Diceros bicornis minor: one gene and its partner. The main gene of each other region encodes a partner of the protein of the gene in region 2 in a complex. Links are inferred from orthologs where the notes say so. Each region holds a gene or a part of one and is shown on either strand. Other genes may lie near its edges. The genes, in order: KNSTRN and SPAG5.

Region 1 (8,576 bases), on a different chromosome or scaffold from region 2:
GGAACTGAGCACTGGGTGGAGGGACAAACATACACTACACTCAGCTGGACTGTGCTCAGACCAGCAACCTCAGCCAACAACCAGCCCCCACCCCGACTTGGGGCCAATTGTTCAGGAGCCTTGTGCTCTCAAAAACCCTATTTTCTAATTCTTGGCACTGGGCAATTTCTAGCAAGATGTTCTAATTGGATACCAATGATCTGACTCTCACCCATTTTCTCGTCTTGTTTTGATGATTTTTGTAACATCATTCTCTGAACCTCCCGAATGCAGAAATCTAGAAACATCAACTTCCTTGGACTTAACAGGTAATAAGCTCTTAGAAGTGGCTCGAGTTTGTATGTCTGCAAAGGAAAACAAGAAGTGAAACCTCAAGCATCAGGACGCAACAGCTGCAACTCTGTAACAAACAAAGCTCCATTCCAGGTTGTCAGAAACCTGTATTTTCACTCTGGCCAATCTCAATTTGTGAAGATTAAGTCAGAAGAATAAGACTTCTATGCTAATTGGAGATAGAAACACAAATTCTTTAAATGTGACAGTGCAGTGTGTTTGAAGGTAGCCAAAAGCTTGATGACACATCAGACTGAATGGCCAGAGGGTACAGACGTGAAAGTGGAGATTGATACAAGCAAAGAGCTAAAAAAAGCAGTGTGGTCATCAGCAAGGCAAAACAGAGCTGAACCCTTCATCAAACACCAGTGGAATGGAACCACCTTGCTATGCTAAGCACTCTGCACGCTCTCCTAAGGCTACGCTCAAGCTGCTTGAGTCTCTCTTTTAACTGCTGCTTAGTTGTTTTGACCAGACTGTCTCCCTAACTCCTCTAAGAGACGTCTTTGTGTCCCCAGTGCCTAGTAGAGTACCTGGCATATTAACAGAGGTTCAAAACTGCTTGTTGAATATATGGAACACTACACACCTCCATGGATTATTTCACAGACCATCTCTAAACTAGCTCTTCTAGTCTTCTTACCCCTTTCCATGCTGATCACCTTTCCACCAGCCCTTTTAATTTGTTTATTCAAGGTTCCCTATTTGGCACTCTGTTCTGATCTTCCTGCTAGGCTATTGCCAGATAACCAGAGAAATGGCCCTGCCATGAAACTCCTCTTCCTCAGAGGTGAGCATTTTCCCTCTAGCCCTTACACCAGCCCTCCACTACACATACCACACCACACCCATGCGCTTTTCTAGTTGATGCTTTCACCTTGTTCATTGTAAAATGGCTTGTTTAAGCTTGACCTAAGAGCCACACAATTAAGCCCTAACAATTAAATCAGGTTGAAGAAATGAGGTCCAAAGCACTGGATCACAGGGATTAGGAAATTTTGTATTTGATAAAGATTTAATTTTGATGACTCTAGCTGCATGACAGTTTGGAATAAATATGATTTCTCAGGCTAACAAATTATTTCATTTATAGGTATACTCACCAGGCACTTGCTCCCTATTTTCCATACTCTTACCCACAAAGCAAATATTAAAAGGGTTCTTTTTGAGGTCTCTGTCTGAAGCAAAAGGTAACCTTAGGGGAATGCATGTACCTTCTCCTCTCTCAAGTATTAATAAGTTATACACAATAACAAATCTACCCCATGTAAAAAGGAGTTAATAGAAAATTGATCAAAATTAACACTCTTCATTGATCGAAGTTGGTTCCAATAATCCATATTTGCTAGAACTTAAAGACTGCATTGTAGGAAAAATTTAGCAGAATTTAACAAACACTGTCTTTTTTTTTGCATGTGTTTGTGAGGAAGATTAGCCCTGAGCTAACATCCACTGCCAATCCCCCTGTTTTTGCTGAGGAAGAGTGGCCCTGAGCTCACATCAGTGCCCATCCTCGTTCTTCGTTTACTTTATGTGGGAGGCCGCCACAGCACGGCTTGATAAGTGGTGCGTAGGTCCATGCCTGGGACCCGAACCGGCGAACCCCGGGCTGCCGAAGCGGAGGATGGGAACTTAACCACTAAGCCACAGGGCTGGCCCCGTCTTCTTAAAATGAGAAATGCAGGGGCCAGCCCAGTGGTGTAGTGGTTAAGTTCGCACGCTTTGCTTTGGCAGCACAGGGTTCGCGGGGCCAGGATCCCAGGCGCAGATCTACACACTGCTCATCAACCTATGCTGTGGCCACATCCCACATACAAAACAGAGGAAGACTGGCACAGATGTTAGCTTAGGGCCAGTCTTCCTCACCAAAAGAAAAAAAAAAGAGACCCTAGGGAGGGGAATTGGATGCCTGGTGTCAAGGAAGGCAGGAGACTTGTTTTTCCCTGCATATCATTTTCTAACTTTGGATTTTTTTTTAAATGTGCATATGTTAGTCAAAAAACTAAAACTTAAAAACAACTAACCCATGCTCAAAATCAAAATAAAAAACCTGGGATACAGCCTAAGAATGTCAAACCACTGAGGTTACATATTATCATAACTCTAAGACAGGGATAGAGAGCAAAGAGACGAAAACTTCCGACTTGGCTGGGGAGAGCCAGTCATCAGTCATACCCCCCTGACAGAGGGGCACTGCTCTCGGAGGGAAAGGCAGTGGAAGGAGACATGGATGCAATTCCCCCAGCAACTTGGAGGCCAGGATTACCATTCAGGTGTTCTCTGAGGCAACAGAAGACAAACAGAACAACCCCTGAAGGCTTCGGAGAAAAGTCTATTTACTTTACAGACCAATCCTGCTCCTGCTCATCAACCAGCTGCGTGGAGTCACCTGGGAAGGGATCTTATATAGCTGCTTCAAAATCTCCCACAACAGGCTCTGATGTTTGAAGTTTATTCTGTGCTATAATCTCTAGATTAGGCAGCTCCACAACTGAAGGCCCTAAGAGATGACTTTCAACCACAAGCCAAGTAACACAAAGCAAGATGGCAAAGCCATCAAAAATGTTTTTTAATCATGTCTCTTCTCCCAAGGTTCTGGAATACTCTAGCTAGGCCTGACCCCTCTCTCTCACTTCACTCTACCAACATTTACTGAGAATGTACTATAGAAGAGACACTGTGCATATCAAATGTGAACCACACAGTGTGAAGCCTAGCGCTTCCCCCTTAGTATCCCCTTCTCAAATGACTCTCCTCTCTTCTCCCTGACAACAAACCCAGTCCCTCCAGATAGCCCAAGTCTTGAAATAAAAGGGGTAACTGTTTAAAAAGGGATTCCTAGCTTAATGGGAATAATACTGTAGAAGAATCAGCAAGCGAAATCTAATTGGTGAATCCAGCACGGTTAGGTTTGGGGGAGGAGGGGTGCAGGGCAGGTCTAAAATCCTACCACATGGCCCTTCCCCTAACTCCCATCGTACACCTAGACAGCCCGCTTCTAGGGGAGTTAGAGGGTTGTCAGAGCCGATGAAATGCCCTCCCTCTGCCCGCGCCCCCCATTCCCGGCCTGACCGCCCCAGGCTGGTCCCCAGTGCCCGAGGAGGGCGGCGTGGATACCCACCTGCCGGCAGGCCGCCGCTCAGCACAGAGGGGGGCTGCAGGGTGTACACTGTCTTAACCACGCTGGTCATCGTAACGAGGCGGCACGGCTGGGCCCTGGAAGGTGCAAGGTGAATGTTACCCAGGGTGGGCCAAGGGGTCCGGGCAGGTGGAGGGCCCAGGGAGAGCGCGCCCCGACTCCGGGGAGGACTCGAGAGAGAGAGAAAATCCTCCATTCCCAGCCCACCTCGTCCGACCCCCACACCCAGCTCAGTCCCTCGCCCCGGGAGAGCCGAACCCAGGCGCCTGCTGCTCCTGCCTGCAGCCCTCGTCGCTCTGGTTCGGAAGATGCTCTGCAGCAACTGCCGCTCCGCCGGCCGGGTCTGCCGCCTGGGTTTCAAATAGAAACTTCCGGTGGCCGGGCGGAAGGGGGTGCGGTGCGTACCCTGTAGGCGGCCATCTTGTACTGCAGGCACTGCCGTGGGCCACGCCTTTGGGGGCTGCCATGCTGTACGAGCAGCCGAGCGAGCCGGAGCTTCTTGACGATGGGTGTCCGAGCCCCCAGCTTTGGGCGGGGGAGGGGAGTTGTGCACTTTGCCGGCCTGAATGGAGCTATGAGCCCCCGGCGTCATATTTCGGGCTTGGGACGCACTCGTGGTCACGTTTAGATCCATGTCACAATCCTTCTCTTTATTTGGTCTGTGATTGTTAGGTACATTGCATGATGCCTGATTTCCAGGAGCATAGGGTATTTGGATGGAGGAAACTACATGTTACAGGGTGGAGAGTGGCAGGTGGGGTTTGAAGAGGGCCTGTGGGCGGAAATACCTGAGGTACCTACCTGCAGTCCTGACTTTAATAACTCTTATCTAGATTTTAAGCAGAGATTCAAAGCTACTCCTAGCGAACAGAGTTCTCAGCAGTGCAGAGTTCTCAAGCACTTAATGCACTCATTCATTTCACTCAGCAAATATTTATTGAGCACCTATTGAGCACTACTCGAAGAGGGCTTATGGTGGGCGAGGCAGCAAATATCAAGACTGACCTTGGGTCTGCCCTCCTGGAATTTACAGTCTAGGAAAATAATCACACGAACTTGTCAATTACATCTCAGTTAAGCTGGGAAAAAATCCCGAATAAATATGTATCTACCAACAGTAGTAAAACTCTGAAGGAAAACTACAATGTGCTGTGAGAGAGAAAAGCAGGGAAACCTAATTTAAATTGGGGAGTCAGGGAAGACATCTGAGATGATGATTGATTAATGAAGAACGAGTGGAAGTTAATCGGATGAACAATGGGGGAGGGGGGAGAAATGCAAAGTCCCAAGGTAGGAATGGGCTTTTTTCCTAGAAGGGACTGAAAGATGGGAGGAGTGGTCTAGATAAAGTTGGAAGAAATCAAATGGCAGCCTTTGTAGGCCAAAAGTAAAGAGATTAGATTTTATCTTAAGAGTAATGGGAAGTCACTGAAGTATTAGAGCAGGACAGTGTTATTCAATTTATATTTTAAAAATCTCACTCTGGCTACTCCATGGAGAATGGATTGAAGGGGGGCAAGAGTGGCACAAGGGAGACAGTTGGGAGGTCACTGTAACCATTCAAGTGAAAGATGATGGTGGTTTGGCCATGATGGTAGTAGTGGAGATGTAGAGAAGCAGACAAATTTAAGACAGCTTTTGGAGGTAGAATCTCAGGACCCAGTGCTAGATTGGATGTGGGGGGTAAAGGGGTAAGGGAGAGGGTGATCTTAAGGACGACTCCCAGGCTTGAATAATTGTGTGGATAGAGTCACTATTTTGTCTTGGGGGGAGATTGAGAGTTCAGTTTTGAACATGGTAAGCTTGAAATGCCTCTGAGATATTCAAGTGGAGCTGTCAAGTAGGCAGCTGGAAATATAGTCTTTGAGCCCAGAGGTGAGTCTAGGTGGGAGATATTCTCTTGGGAGTCATGAGTATATGGATGTATTTAAAGCTGCGATATTGAATGAGATCATCAAAGGAAGAAGTGTACAGAGAGCCTTAGGGCCAAGGACAGGGAGAGCAGCATGTAGAAGCTGCAATGATAAGAAGGTGCCAGCCAAGAAACCTGATAAAGAGGTGCCAGAGAGGTGAGAAGAAAAAAAAATGGGTGGTATCCTAGAAGCTAAGAAGGAGGAAGTCGTAAACTGCTGAAGGAGGGAGTGGTAAACTATTGAAAATAACTGAAAGGGCAAGCAAGATCAGAACTATAAAGGATCTATTTAATTTAACAACAAAGAAGTCATTGGTGAGTACAGGAAGAGGAATTCTGGTGGAGAGGTTTGAGTGGAATCACGGTAGTACAGGTCACAGAGTACAGGAGAGATGAGGCAGCAGAGATGGCAAGTGAAGACAGAGTTTGTGAATGGAGTAGAGTAGTTGGGTGGTAACTGGAGGTGGGTTGTGGCAGTCAAAGAAGGGTTTTCTTGAAGATGCAGATACTAGTTGGTACATATGCTGAGAGGAAGAAAAGGATATTTCATGGGGAGATGGGATGATCACAGGAGCAAAGTCATAGAGAAAGGAGAAAGGAAGACGGGATCTAGAGCAGCAACTTCAAACTCTTATTCATGTACCTCCACAAAATAACTTAAAAAAACAATCATCTTACCTATTTTTAGTTGATGCCTAAATTTTTTCTTTTTCCCCAAAGCCCCAGTAGATACTTGTATGTCATCGTTGCACATCCTTCTAGTTGCTGTATGTGGGACGCCACCTCAGCATGGCCGGAGAAGCGGTGCCTTGGTGCACGCCCGGGATCCGAACCCCGGGCCACCAGTAGCGGAGCGTGCGCACTTAACCGCTAAGCCACGGGGCCGGCCCCCTAAATTTTTTCAATTTTAAATATTTGTAAAGGACATACCTTCTACCTATTATATGTTGTTCATGCTCTTTGTTTCTAAAATTCTTTTTTCTTTTAGTGTTTCATTTTGGATAATTTCTATTGCTAGCTCAAGTTCAAGTTCACTAATCTTTTTTTTCTGTAGTGTCTAAACTGTTGTTAATTCCATCCAGTGATTTTTCATCTCAGACATTTTAGTTTTCATTCACAAGTTCAATTTTGTTTTTTTTTTTTTATATCTTCCAAGTCTCTACTTAGCTATGTGAACATATGGAATACAATTATGATAACTGTTTTGATGTCCTTGCTTGCTAATTCTCACATAGGTATCAGTTCTGGGTTGGTGTCAATTGATTTTCCTCCTCACTATGGGTCATATTTTTCTGCTTCTTTGCATGACAGGTAATTTTTTTATTAGACCCCAGACATTGTGAATTTTTTACATTTTTGGGCGCTGGTTATTTTTGCATTCCTGTAAATGTTCTTGAGGTTTGTTCTGGGATGCAGTTACAATACTTAGGAACAGTTTCATCTTTTCAGGTCTTGCTTTTGAGATTTGTTACGTGGGAGCCAGCAGTGTTTAAACTAGGGCTAATGAGTTCCCACTACAGAGGCAAGCTCCTTCTGAGAACTCTAACCAATGCTCCATAAATTATCAGGTTCTCCAGTGTGGCTGATGGGAACTGGCACTGTTCCAGCCCTAGGTGACTACTGGCTACTGTTCCCTCTAGTCATTTTGGGTAGTTCCTTCCTTGGTCTCAAGTAGTTTCCTCACACTTATATGCTGAGCAGTGCTCTGCTGAATACTCCAGGGGGGCCATTTGCAGATCTCTAGAATTCTCTCTCTGTGCACCTTTCTCCTCTCAGTCAGTATTCTGTCCTGACCACTCTAGCTACCTTGGTTGCCCCAGACTCTGAGCTATCTCCTCAGCTCGGGGAGTCTGCATGGCCCTGCCTGGGTTCTGCCTCCCTGTAGTATGTCCTAGAAACTCTCTCAAGCAGTAAGCTGGGGCTGTCACAAGGCTCATCTCATTTGTTTCTTGTCCAGAAGAGATCACCGTCCTTTGTTGTCTGATGTCCAGTGTTGAAAACTGTTGTCTCATATATTTTTTTCTGTTGGGTTGGTTGTTTCAGGAAAGAAGATAAATCTCGTTCCTACTACTCCATCTTGGCTGGAAGGGGAAGTTGTATGTGTATATTAAATGTATTTTTCAGGCCGGCCCCATGGCTTAGCAGTTAAGAGCACGCGCTCCACTGCTGGCGGCCCGGGTTCGGATCCCAGGTTTGCACTGAGGCATCGCTTCTCTGGCCATGCTGAGGCCGCGTCCCACATACAGCAACTAGAAGGCTGTGCAACTATGACATACGACTATCTAATGGGGCTTTGGGGGAAAAAATAATAAAATAAAATAAATGTATTTTTCTTCAAACCATGGAGCCGCAGATTTAAATTATTCCATTCTGGGAAAATGTCCACCATATATCCTATTTGCAAAGCTAGTCCTGTCAAACCCATCAGCCAAATCAGATTGACTTTCCATCAGAAAAAGTATGATTTTGTTTTTCAATTCAAATAAGTGTGGTTATTATACAGGTTATTATCCTGTATCAACCTCTTACTTTTGAATTTGAATTCTTAAATGGAAAAGGCACAGAACTGAGCTACAGGGCTGCCCCTTTGCAACTTCTCATAAAAGCTCTCTAGGCTTTGCTGTCTCAAGGACTTCCTCAAGCAGAGCATTCTCAAGTAGTTCTTTTATTGTTTTTTTATACTGCAGAGTGAGGCGCCAGAATAGGATTCAGAATGAAGGAGGGGGTCAACTGGGAAAGTGGAGGTCAGGAAGGAGAACTGGCTGACCTAAGGCTCCTTCTTAGGCTGATCAATACGAGGAGATGGACCATATGAAGGAGGAAGCTCTGGAAATTGATTCCCTTAAAATTATCTGTATCCACCTACCTTCTAGAAAGTGTTCATGTTCCTGTGGGAATGCAAGCCCTAGTTTGAAAGCCTCTGATGCAAAGTGTGTGAAGCCATTGATGGAGCCATTACTGCTTCCTTCATTTTAATAGAAGGGATGGGGAGAGAAGCAGGCAGGAGCAGAGATAGGTAAGTTAGGGACTTGATGCCTTGAAAGTGAGGAAATGTCTATCTGACGCCTCCAGTTTTCTTTATGAAGAATGAATTTTTTGTCTACTGAAACTGGGGTGCAGGGAGGTGGAGGGCATCAGATGTTTGAGGAAGGTAGAGAGAGTGTAAAATGGTCATTACAAAGAATGGAAAGC
Region 2 (8,230 bases):
AAAAGGCAAAATAAATGACCATTTATGAAGAAATTATGATCATTCATACCACATTATCTTATGAATTAGTTCTACACCAGTTAACATGGAGGGATTTGCACCACATTGTTAAATGAAAAAAGCAACATACAGAGAAATGTATACAGTCGATCCCCATTAATTGTGGATTCAGTATTTGCAAATTTGCCTACTCACTAAGATTTAAGACCACTTTTCTGGTCATTTGCAGACGTGCAGAGCTGCAAAAAATATGAATCCCCTGAAACACATGTTCCTAGCCAAGGTTGAACAAGGTGACATTTTGCCTTCTTGTTTTAGCTCTCATATCCTAAACAAATGGCTTTTTCACGATCTATTTAGTGCCACGGTTTTCACATTTTTGTGCTTTTTGCTGGTGACTTCGCTGTTTCAAATGGCCCCCAAATGTAGTGCTGAAGTGCTGGCTAGTGTTCCCAAGTGCAAGAAAGCTGTGATGTGTCTTATGTGAGCTAGATAAACTTCATTCAAGCATGAACATTGTTGATTAAGTTCAATGTTAATGAATCAACAATATATATAAAAATAAGGTGTTTTTAAACAGGAATATACACATAAAATAAGACCATGTATTGATTGGTTAATGAAAATGTTTGATCAGAAGCTTGCAGGAATATAATCCTGTATTTCCCCTATGAGCAGCAGTTCAGTATTTGCTAAGTAAGTGTTCACAGAGACTTTATAGAACATATGTACTACAAATAATGAGAACTGACTGTATATTGTGATCCTATCAGTAAAATAATTATGCATGTTTGCATATTATTAAAAGAACACAGAGAAAAATATGGAAGTATACACATTAGGATGTTAAAATGGATTGGTTTCTTGGGAAGAGCAGGGCACGTGTGGGAGGGATTAATTCCAGAGGAGGGGCAAAAGAGAGAGGAAAAGTGGAGCTAAGCCAAAAAAAAAGGGAAAGAGAGGAGAGAGAAAAGGGAAAAAAAATTGACCTGATAAAAAAGTAATATGATAATCTATGGATATGTGTGTATATAAACATATACACACAGATAGATACACATAAAGAGATGCAAGAAAGGATTTTCAAATATGATAGTTATCTAAAATGGCAGAAACATTTTCATCCTTATATTTACACATCGTTCAAATATTTCAAACAATGAACATCTAAGATAAAAATAATCACGTTTTAAAAAGTAAAAAAAAAAGTTATTTTTTGGGGGGAAAAAACTTCGTCTATATTGCCGACTATATCAGGAGGTAACAAGCCCTCCAGTTAAGAGTAGGGAGACCTAAATTGAAGTCTATTTTGCTACTGTGATTAAATGGCTGTGGTTAAATTCTATAGGCTCTATGAAGATCAGTTCCCACTTAGTACTTACTTCTTTTCTACCTAAGCTGTACTAATATAGTTGCCACTAGCCACTTTTGGCTATCTAAATTAAAATTAAATAAAACTTAAAATTTAGTACCTCAGTCACATTAGCCACCTTTCAAGTGCTGAGTAGCCATGTTAACTAATAGCTACCATATTGGACAGCACAGATTATCAAACATTTCCATCATCCCAGAAAGTTCTATTGGACAGTTGGTGTTAGAGCTCTTTCAAGAAAGACTGCTCCAGGGCTGGCCCTGTGGCATAGCGGTTAAGTGCACGCGCTCTGCTGCTGGCGGCCCGGGTTCAGATCCCAGGGGTGCACCAATGCACTACTTGTCAGGCCATGCTGTGGCGGCCTCCCATATAAAGTGGAGGAAGATGGGCACAGATGTTAGCCCAGGGCCAGTCTTCCTCAGCAAAAAGAGGAGGATTGGCATGGATGTTAGCTCAGGGCTGATCTTCCTCACAGTAAAAAAAACAGAAAGACTGCTACTCTCATACATCTGTTACTCAGGCTGCCATGTGCTTTTATTCTTTCTTCCTCTAACCTATTTTATTTATGTCCCCTCTCCTTCCAAAAATAATTCAGACTGCATGAAAAAGAACAGATAGATGGATACATCAGGTTAAAGAAATACAAAAAGAAAAAGAAAAAGGAAGAAAATCTTCCTATTTCAGGGAGTAGCAGTAGTTATACCTGATGATCAAATTTGACCCTGAGCTTTCTAGAAGCCAGTTCAAGAGGGAAAATGTAAAATGTAGTAAACTACATAGTTGTCACTATCAGAAAGAGAAAAACAAAGCAATTTCTTCAGAATTTTCCCAGGCAGTAAGTTCTAAAGGAAATTTCTTTTTTAAATTTTTTTTTTTGGGGGGGTAAGGAAGATTGGCCCTGAGCTAACATCTGTAGCTAATCTTCTTCTTTTTGCTTGTGGCAGATTGTCGCTGAGCTAATATCTGTGCCAATCTTCCTCTATTTTGTATATGGGACGCCGCCATAGCATGGCTTGATGTGTGGTGTGTAGGTCCTCACCAGGGATCCGGGCAGCGAACCCTGGGCCACAGAAGTGGAGTGTGCAAACTTAACCACTACGCCACTGGCCCGCCCCTAAAGGAAATTTCTTCGAGGAACCTTATAGAGGGGTCACTCGCCTTCCTTGACAAGTTTTACAGCAAGTGAAAAGCAGTTTCTACATGGCAACTTCTCTCAAGACCTTTGACAAAAGTACAATTCAGTGAGGGCAATTCTACAAGGGGCTAGTTTAAACAAAGATGGTCCGGGCCGGCCAGGTGGCGCAAGCGGTTAAGTGCGCATGCTCTGCTGCAGCGGCCCAGGGTTCGCCGGTTCCGATCCTGGGCACACACCAACGCACCACTTGTCAGGCCATGCTGTGGCGGCATCCCATATAAAGTGGAGGAAGATGGGCACGGATGTTAGCCCAGGGCCACTCTTCCTCAGCAAAAAGAGGAGGATTGGCAGATGTTAGCTCAGGGCCGATCTTCCTCACACAAAAAAATAATAAATAAAAATAAACTTAAAAAATAAATAAATAAAAATAAACAAAGATGGTCCAAGTGCTCTGCCTTCCAGTGGTGTAACTTGATCCCAGGAGAGTTTTGACTCTCTCTTGGAATGGATGGACATTGCCTCACTCTTGCAGCTGACTGACCTCTCCATAAGTGAGCCCATATTAGAGGGAGACCCCTAATCAAAGTGATAGTATTTCTCAGTAGTTCAGTAAAGACTGAATGGGGGAGGAGGTGATAAAAACTAACATCTAAATAGAGGTCTGGGTTCTCAGCGGATTTCCTTTAACCACCCTAGGGCACCTCTCTGTTGGCCTGAATAGCTGTAAATGGATGTCACTGAGGTAGAAGACTTCATTATTGTTATTAATTACGTTCCAGCCCGGGTCCTCTATTCCTCTGAGCTCTTGGCCTCGGCAAAGAGCCCAGTCGAGAAGCTGGGCAGTCGAATCTCACCTGCAGCCCCAGTTTGCACAGTGATGGAGTCAGCGAGCAGCATATCGGGGCCCCTTTTCCAGAGTTGGTGAGGGCATCGGGCTGCAGGGTAAGTTCTCGGAGGGGAGTTCTCACAGCTGGTTTTCCCTGAGAAAGAAAGAGAGTGTAAGAAAGCCTGGCTCTGCCAGCCCGCCCTTCCTCCCTCCCTAAGAAGCCCATAGGGCACTAAGAAGAGTAGGCTTCGACGCCAGTCGCGCTGAAGCGTCTGGACCAACAAAAGACTCCACACGCCCCCGCCCCCAGGCTCGACCCAGCTTTCCAGCACACTCGGCACTGCCAGCGCCCCCGCCCCGGAAGCCTCGGCCCAGCTCTCTCTCCATGAGGCTCTCCCACTCACCGGCTGAGGCGAAGGCGACAGGCTAACGTTCAGTGTTTTCACCCGCCTCATCTTCAACACAAAACGCAGCCCGATCTCCTCCCAGACCCAAGGGGTGACGCCATGTTCACCCGCCGTCTGAATTTGAACCTGCTCCGCGCTTCCCGATTGGCTGCGGAGCCTCAGTGCGTCGGCCTAGCGTGTTTGCTCCGGGCTCGAACACGGCGGGTGAGGGGGCGGGGCCTGCATTGGCCACGCCCCCGCCCCGGACCGCGGTTCGCGCGCGGTCTCTGCGGATCCCGTACCAAAGACACGGGCAGGAGGGGCGACGTGCCGCAAGCCCGAGGCCAGTCTTATGGCCTCACTTCGGGGACGGTACCCAAGCAGCAGGAGAGTCATGGAATCCATCCCTCCTGCTTCCAGGAGACCACCCTCACGCCCTGACAGAAAAGTGGTCTTCGTGGCCTGGCCTCAGGAAGTCTCTTCTCCGGTGTCTCTTAGTTACCTCGCGCCGCAGCCTTGACCAGAAAGAGCGGGCCGGGTAGTCCGGAAAGGAAAGGTGAGTGTAGCCTTTTTTCCTTAGGCTTGGTCGGTTCGCGCACAGGTCCTGCGTTGGTGAGGGCCTGAGACGTAGTTCTCAACCTGCGCTGTAATTTAGCCTCTTCAGAATTTTTAGCGTGTTCTTGGGACTTACCTTGGGGCCTGCAACAAGTTTACTGGAACAATAGCTAACGGGTATCGCACATTTATTAGGTACCTGGCACTGTTCCAAATGCTTTATCGATATTAACTCCTTTAATCCTCGTAAGGACCTACGAAGTAGGTACTATAAATATCCCCATTTTACAGACGAAGGAACTGAACCATAGATAATGTAATTTGCCCAATGCCCCGCAGGGAGTAAATGGCAGAGGCAAGATGCCAACCCACACTACGAACTACTGCATTCTACTGTCGCTTCAGTCCCCTCTGTATGGGAAATCTAGCTATTTAAGAGGAAACTGATTGATTTTTGGAAACAGCCTAAAGGTAAGTATTCACAGTTATAGTTTATGATGAAATGTGTTCCTTTGAACATTCAGCATCTTATTTACACTCTGAAGTCTTAATGAGTTTGGAAAAGGCAATAATCCCAAGAGGAGGAACTGTAATCTGTTATGAACTGTAGGGCCCTCAGGGGATGGGCTCCTCTAGAAACTGTGTTGTCCAATACCTCAGCCACTGGCCACATGTGGCTAGTCCCAATTGAGATGAATTATAGGTGTAAAACGTAAACTAGATTTCAAAGTCTTTGTATGGAAAAAGTAAAATATCTTATTTTTTAATATTGATTAGGGCCAGCCCCCTGGCGTAGTGGTTGTTTGGCATGCTTTGCTTCAACCGCCAGGGATTCCTGGTTCCGATCAGGGGTGCGGACCTACATCACTCATCAGCCATGCTGTGACAGTCACCCACATACAACACAGAGGAAGAGGGGCCGGCCTGGTGGAGTAGTGGTTAAGTTCACACACTCCACCTTGGTGGCCCTGAGTTCACGGTTCAAATCCCAGGCATGGAGGGATGCACTGCCCATCAAGCCATGCTGTGGCAGTGTCCCACATAAAAATGGAGGACGATGGGTAGGGATGTTAGCTCAGGGCCAATCTTCCTCAGCAAAAAGAGGAAGATGGGCAACAGATGTTAGTGCAGGGTGAATCTTCCTCAGCAAAAAAAAAAATTAATATCGATTACATGTTGAAAGATATTTTAGATATACTGGATTAAATAAAATACATTAAAATTAATTTAACCCATTTCTTTTTACCTTTTTAATGTGGCTACTAGCAAATTTAAAATTACTTATGAGGTTTACATTATATTTCTATTGTACAGCACAGCTCTAAAAACAATGGTCCAGGCCGGCCCGGTGGCACAAGTGGTTAAGTGCGTGCACTCCGCTGCGGCAGCCTGGGGTTCCCAGGTTTGGATCCCAGGCACGCACCGATGCACCGCTTGTCAAGCCATGCTGTGGCGGTGTCCCATATAAAGTGGAGGAAGATGGGCACGGATGTTAGCCCAGGGCCAGTCTTCCTCACAAAAAAAAAAAAAAAAAGGTCCCAGCCTCAGGGCACTAGAGAGAACAGTTGCCTGAATGGAAAACTGGGAGAAAGACAACATAAGAGCACAAACTTGAGTCTGGGATTGCCCAGGACTCAGCAGAGGGAATCCCAAGGTATGTATACTTCTGGCCAATCGAAAAGATCCAGCAAAGAAAACAAGGGTAGGGCCGGCTCCGTGGCTTAGCGGTTAAGTGCGCGCGCTCTGATGCTGGCGGCCCGGGTTCAGATCCCGGGCACGCCCCAAGGCACCACTTCTCCGACCAACCCGAGGCCGAGTCCCATGTACAGCAACTAGAAGTATGTGAACCTATGACATACAACTATCTACTGGGGCTTTGGGGGGAAAAAAATGAATAAATAAAATCTTAAAAAAAAAAAAAAAGAAAACAAGGGTAGCAAGTGGCACAAAAACCAAGACAGAAAACTCTTAAGTGCCAGTAGTATTGTATTAGCTTGTATTATAGAAATGTGTAAATTGGACTGCTTAGTCCTTGTTGCAGTTGGTATGTCAGATGCCAGCAAATTAGGAGAGAGATGGAGGGGTAGATAAGAGGGAAAATACCATTGTAAATAGGTAACATAAACAGAATTGGTTTGTTGGTGTTGTTTGGATAATAATTTTTTTAATTTGGTGTTTTTCAAATTGTAAAAATAATAGATGCTTGTTATAGCAAGAGAAACAATTCAATGCAAAGATGTATTAAAGGCACAGCCTCCCCCATTCATTCTACCTGCCTGAGGTAACCAATAGTGTGTATACCTTTATAAAAACATATATGCATTCACACAGGTTTTGTCTTCATTTACACACACATATTTGTTTTTCCCAAAAATTAACTGATGTGCAGCCTGGGGTCTCTGGGATTGAGGGCTCATGCCTTTCTTTTTTTCTCTTCTCTTTCCACTTGCATTACTCCTCTCTCCCTTCCAGGTTCCCTTTTTCACATTCTTGCGCATTCTCTCCCTCCCTCCCTCTTTCCCTCCCTCCCTCTCTCTCTCATACACACACAAGGGAGGGGAAGAAGGTATTGAGTCCTTTACAAAAATGGCATTATTTCTTACACTTCTGCATTTTTTTCCTCACTGTCTAGTATAGAGTCTTCTAAGTCAACTGATATAGATCTAATTAATTGATTGGTCATTTCTTATTCCTTGCCCTTTTTAAAAAAATGTTACTTCTCTTTTCTAATTTGTAAGAGTTCTGTGTTATAGACATTAACTGTCATCACACTGCAGAATTTTTTAGATCTATTTTTTGTCTGTTGACTTTATTAATGATATCTTTGGCCATACAAAGATAAAACTTTTATGTAGTCAAGATGTTTATCTTTCGTTTTAGAGCATTTGGATCTTATCTGATTGAGTTATTCATTCATCAAATTTTTATGTAAATGTTTTTCTTTTTCTTTTATAGTGCTTTCATTTTCTGTCTTAGTTTAGGTATCTCCTCCATCCCTTGATTGTAGGTCTAGTCTCCCAAATGTTCTTCTAAGGTATTTAATGTTTTGATGATCACATTTAAATCCTTAATGTATCTGGAATTAAGTTTTGTATATGATATGAAGTAGGGGTCCAACTACTTAAAAGCAATTGTAGTTTTTAAATTTTCTGATTAGAGATTACTTATTTTATGAAAATCAAATTACATAACCCAAATCAGCAACTCTGAGAAGTATCCACCAGGCAGCTGAGTGAACTCAAGGATGAAACTGGAATTACTAGACCTGCTACTGTGTATGATGAAGTACTGAACAAAGGAGGCAGTGTGACAGCAGCTAATCAGTGGAGCTCTGTAAACCAGCAAAACTCATAGAGAGGCCAATGAAATCTAAAATAATTACATGTTCTCAGAATATAAGCAAAACCAACCTATAGGGAAGAAGATAGCATGCATTTTTGTAAATAAATAATCATTCCTGATTAATCTATTAGAACTCTTCATAGGGGTTGTATTAGTTTGCGAGGGCTGCCATAACAAAGTACCATAGACTGGGTGGCTTAAATAACAGAAATTTATTTTCTCACAACTCACAAAAGGCTAGAAGTCCGAGATCAACATGTCAGCAGGGTTGGTTACTTCTGAGGCCTCTCTCCTTGGCTTGTAGAGACTGTCTTCTCCCTGTAGCTTCACATGGTCTTCCCTCTGTGGGTGTCTTTATAAGGGTGCCTTTATAAGGACACCAATCATACTGGATTAGGGCCCACCCATATGACCTCATTTTAACTTATATCTTTTTTGTGTGTGTGTGTGAGGAAGATCAGCCCTGAGCTAACATCCATGCTAATCCTCCTCTTTTTGCTGAGGAAGACCGGCTCTAAGCTAACATCTATTGCCAATCTTCCTCCCGTTTTTTTTTTTTTTTTCTCCAAAGCCCCAGTAGATAGTGGTATGTCATAGTTGCACATCCTTCTAGT

What was found.
Region 1: SPAG5 (region 2) and KNSTRN share a complex: the UniProt entries of both Homo sapiens proteins name them as parts of the astrin (SPAG5)-kinastrin (SKAP) complex. The link is inferred for Diceros bicornis minor from reciprocal best matches to the Homo sapiens genes SPAG5 and KNSTRN.

Annotation. Positions count from the first base shown.
Region 1 is NC_080744.1:38,258,980-38,267,555, reverse strand, and holds the start of KNSTRN (small kinetochore-associated protein), read right to left. Parts: upstream 3,940-8,576; coding exon 3,731-3,939; intron 3,550-3,730; coding exon 3,455-3,549; intron 345-3,454; coding exon 212-344; intron 1-211. UniProt on the Homo sapiens protein: Essential component of the mitotic spindle required for faithful chromosome segregation and progression into anaphase.
Region 2 is NC_080757.1:18,899,017-18,907,246, reverse strand, and holds the start of SPAG5 (sperm-associated antigen 5), read right to left. Parts: upstream 3,851-8,230; 5' UTR 3,789-3,850; coding exon 3,738-3,788; intron 3,488-3,737; coding exon 3,362-3,487; intron 1-3,361. UniProt on the Homo sapiens protein: Essential component of the mitotic spindle required for normal chromosome segregation and progression into anaphase. Required for chromosome alignment, normal timing of sister chromatid segregation, and maintenance of spindle pole architecture.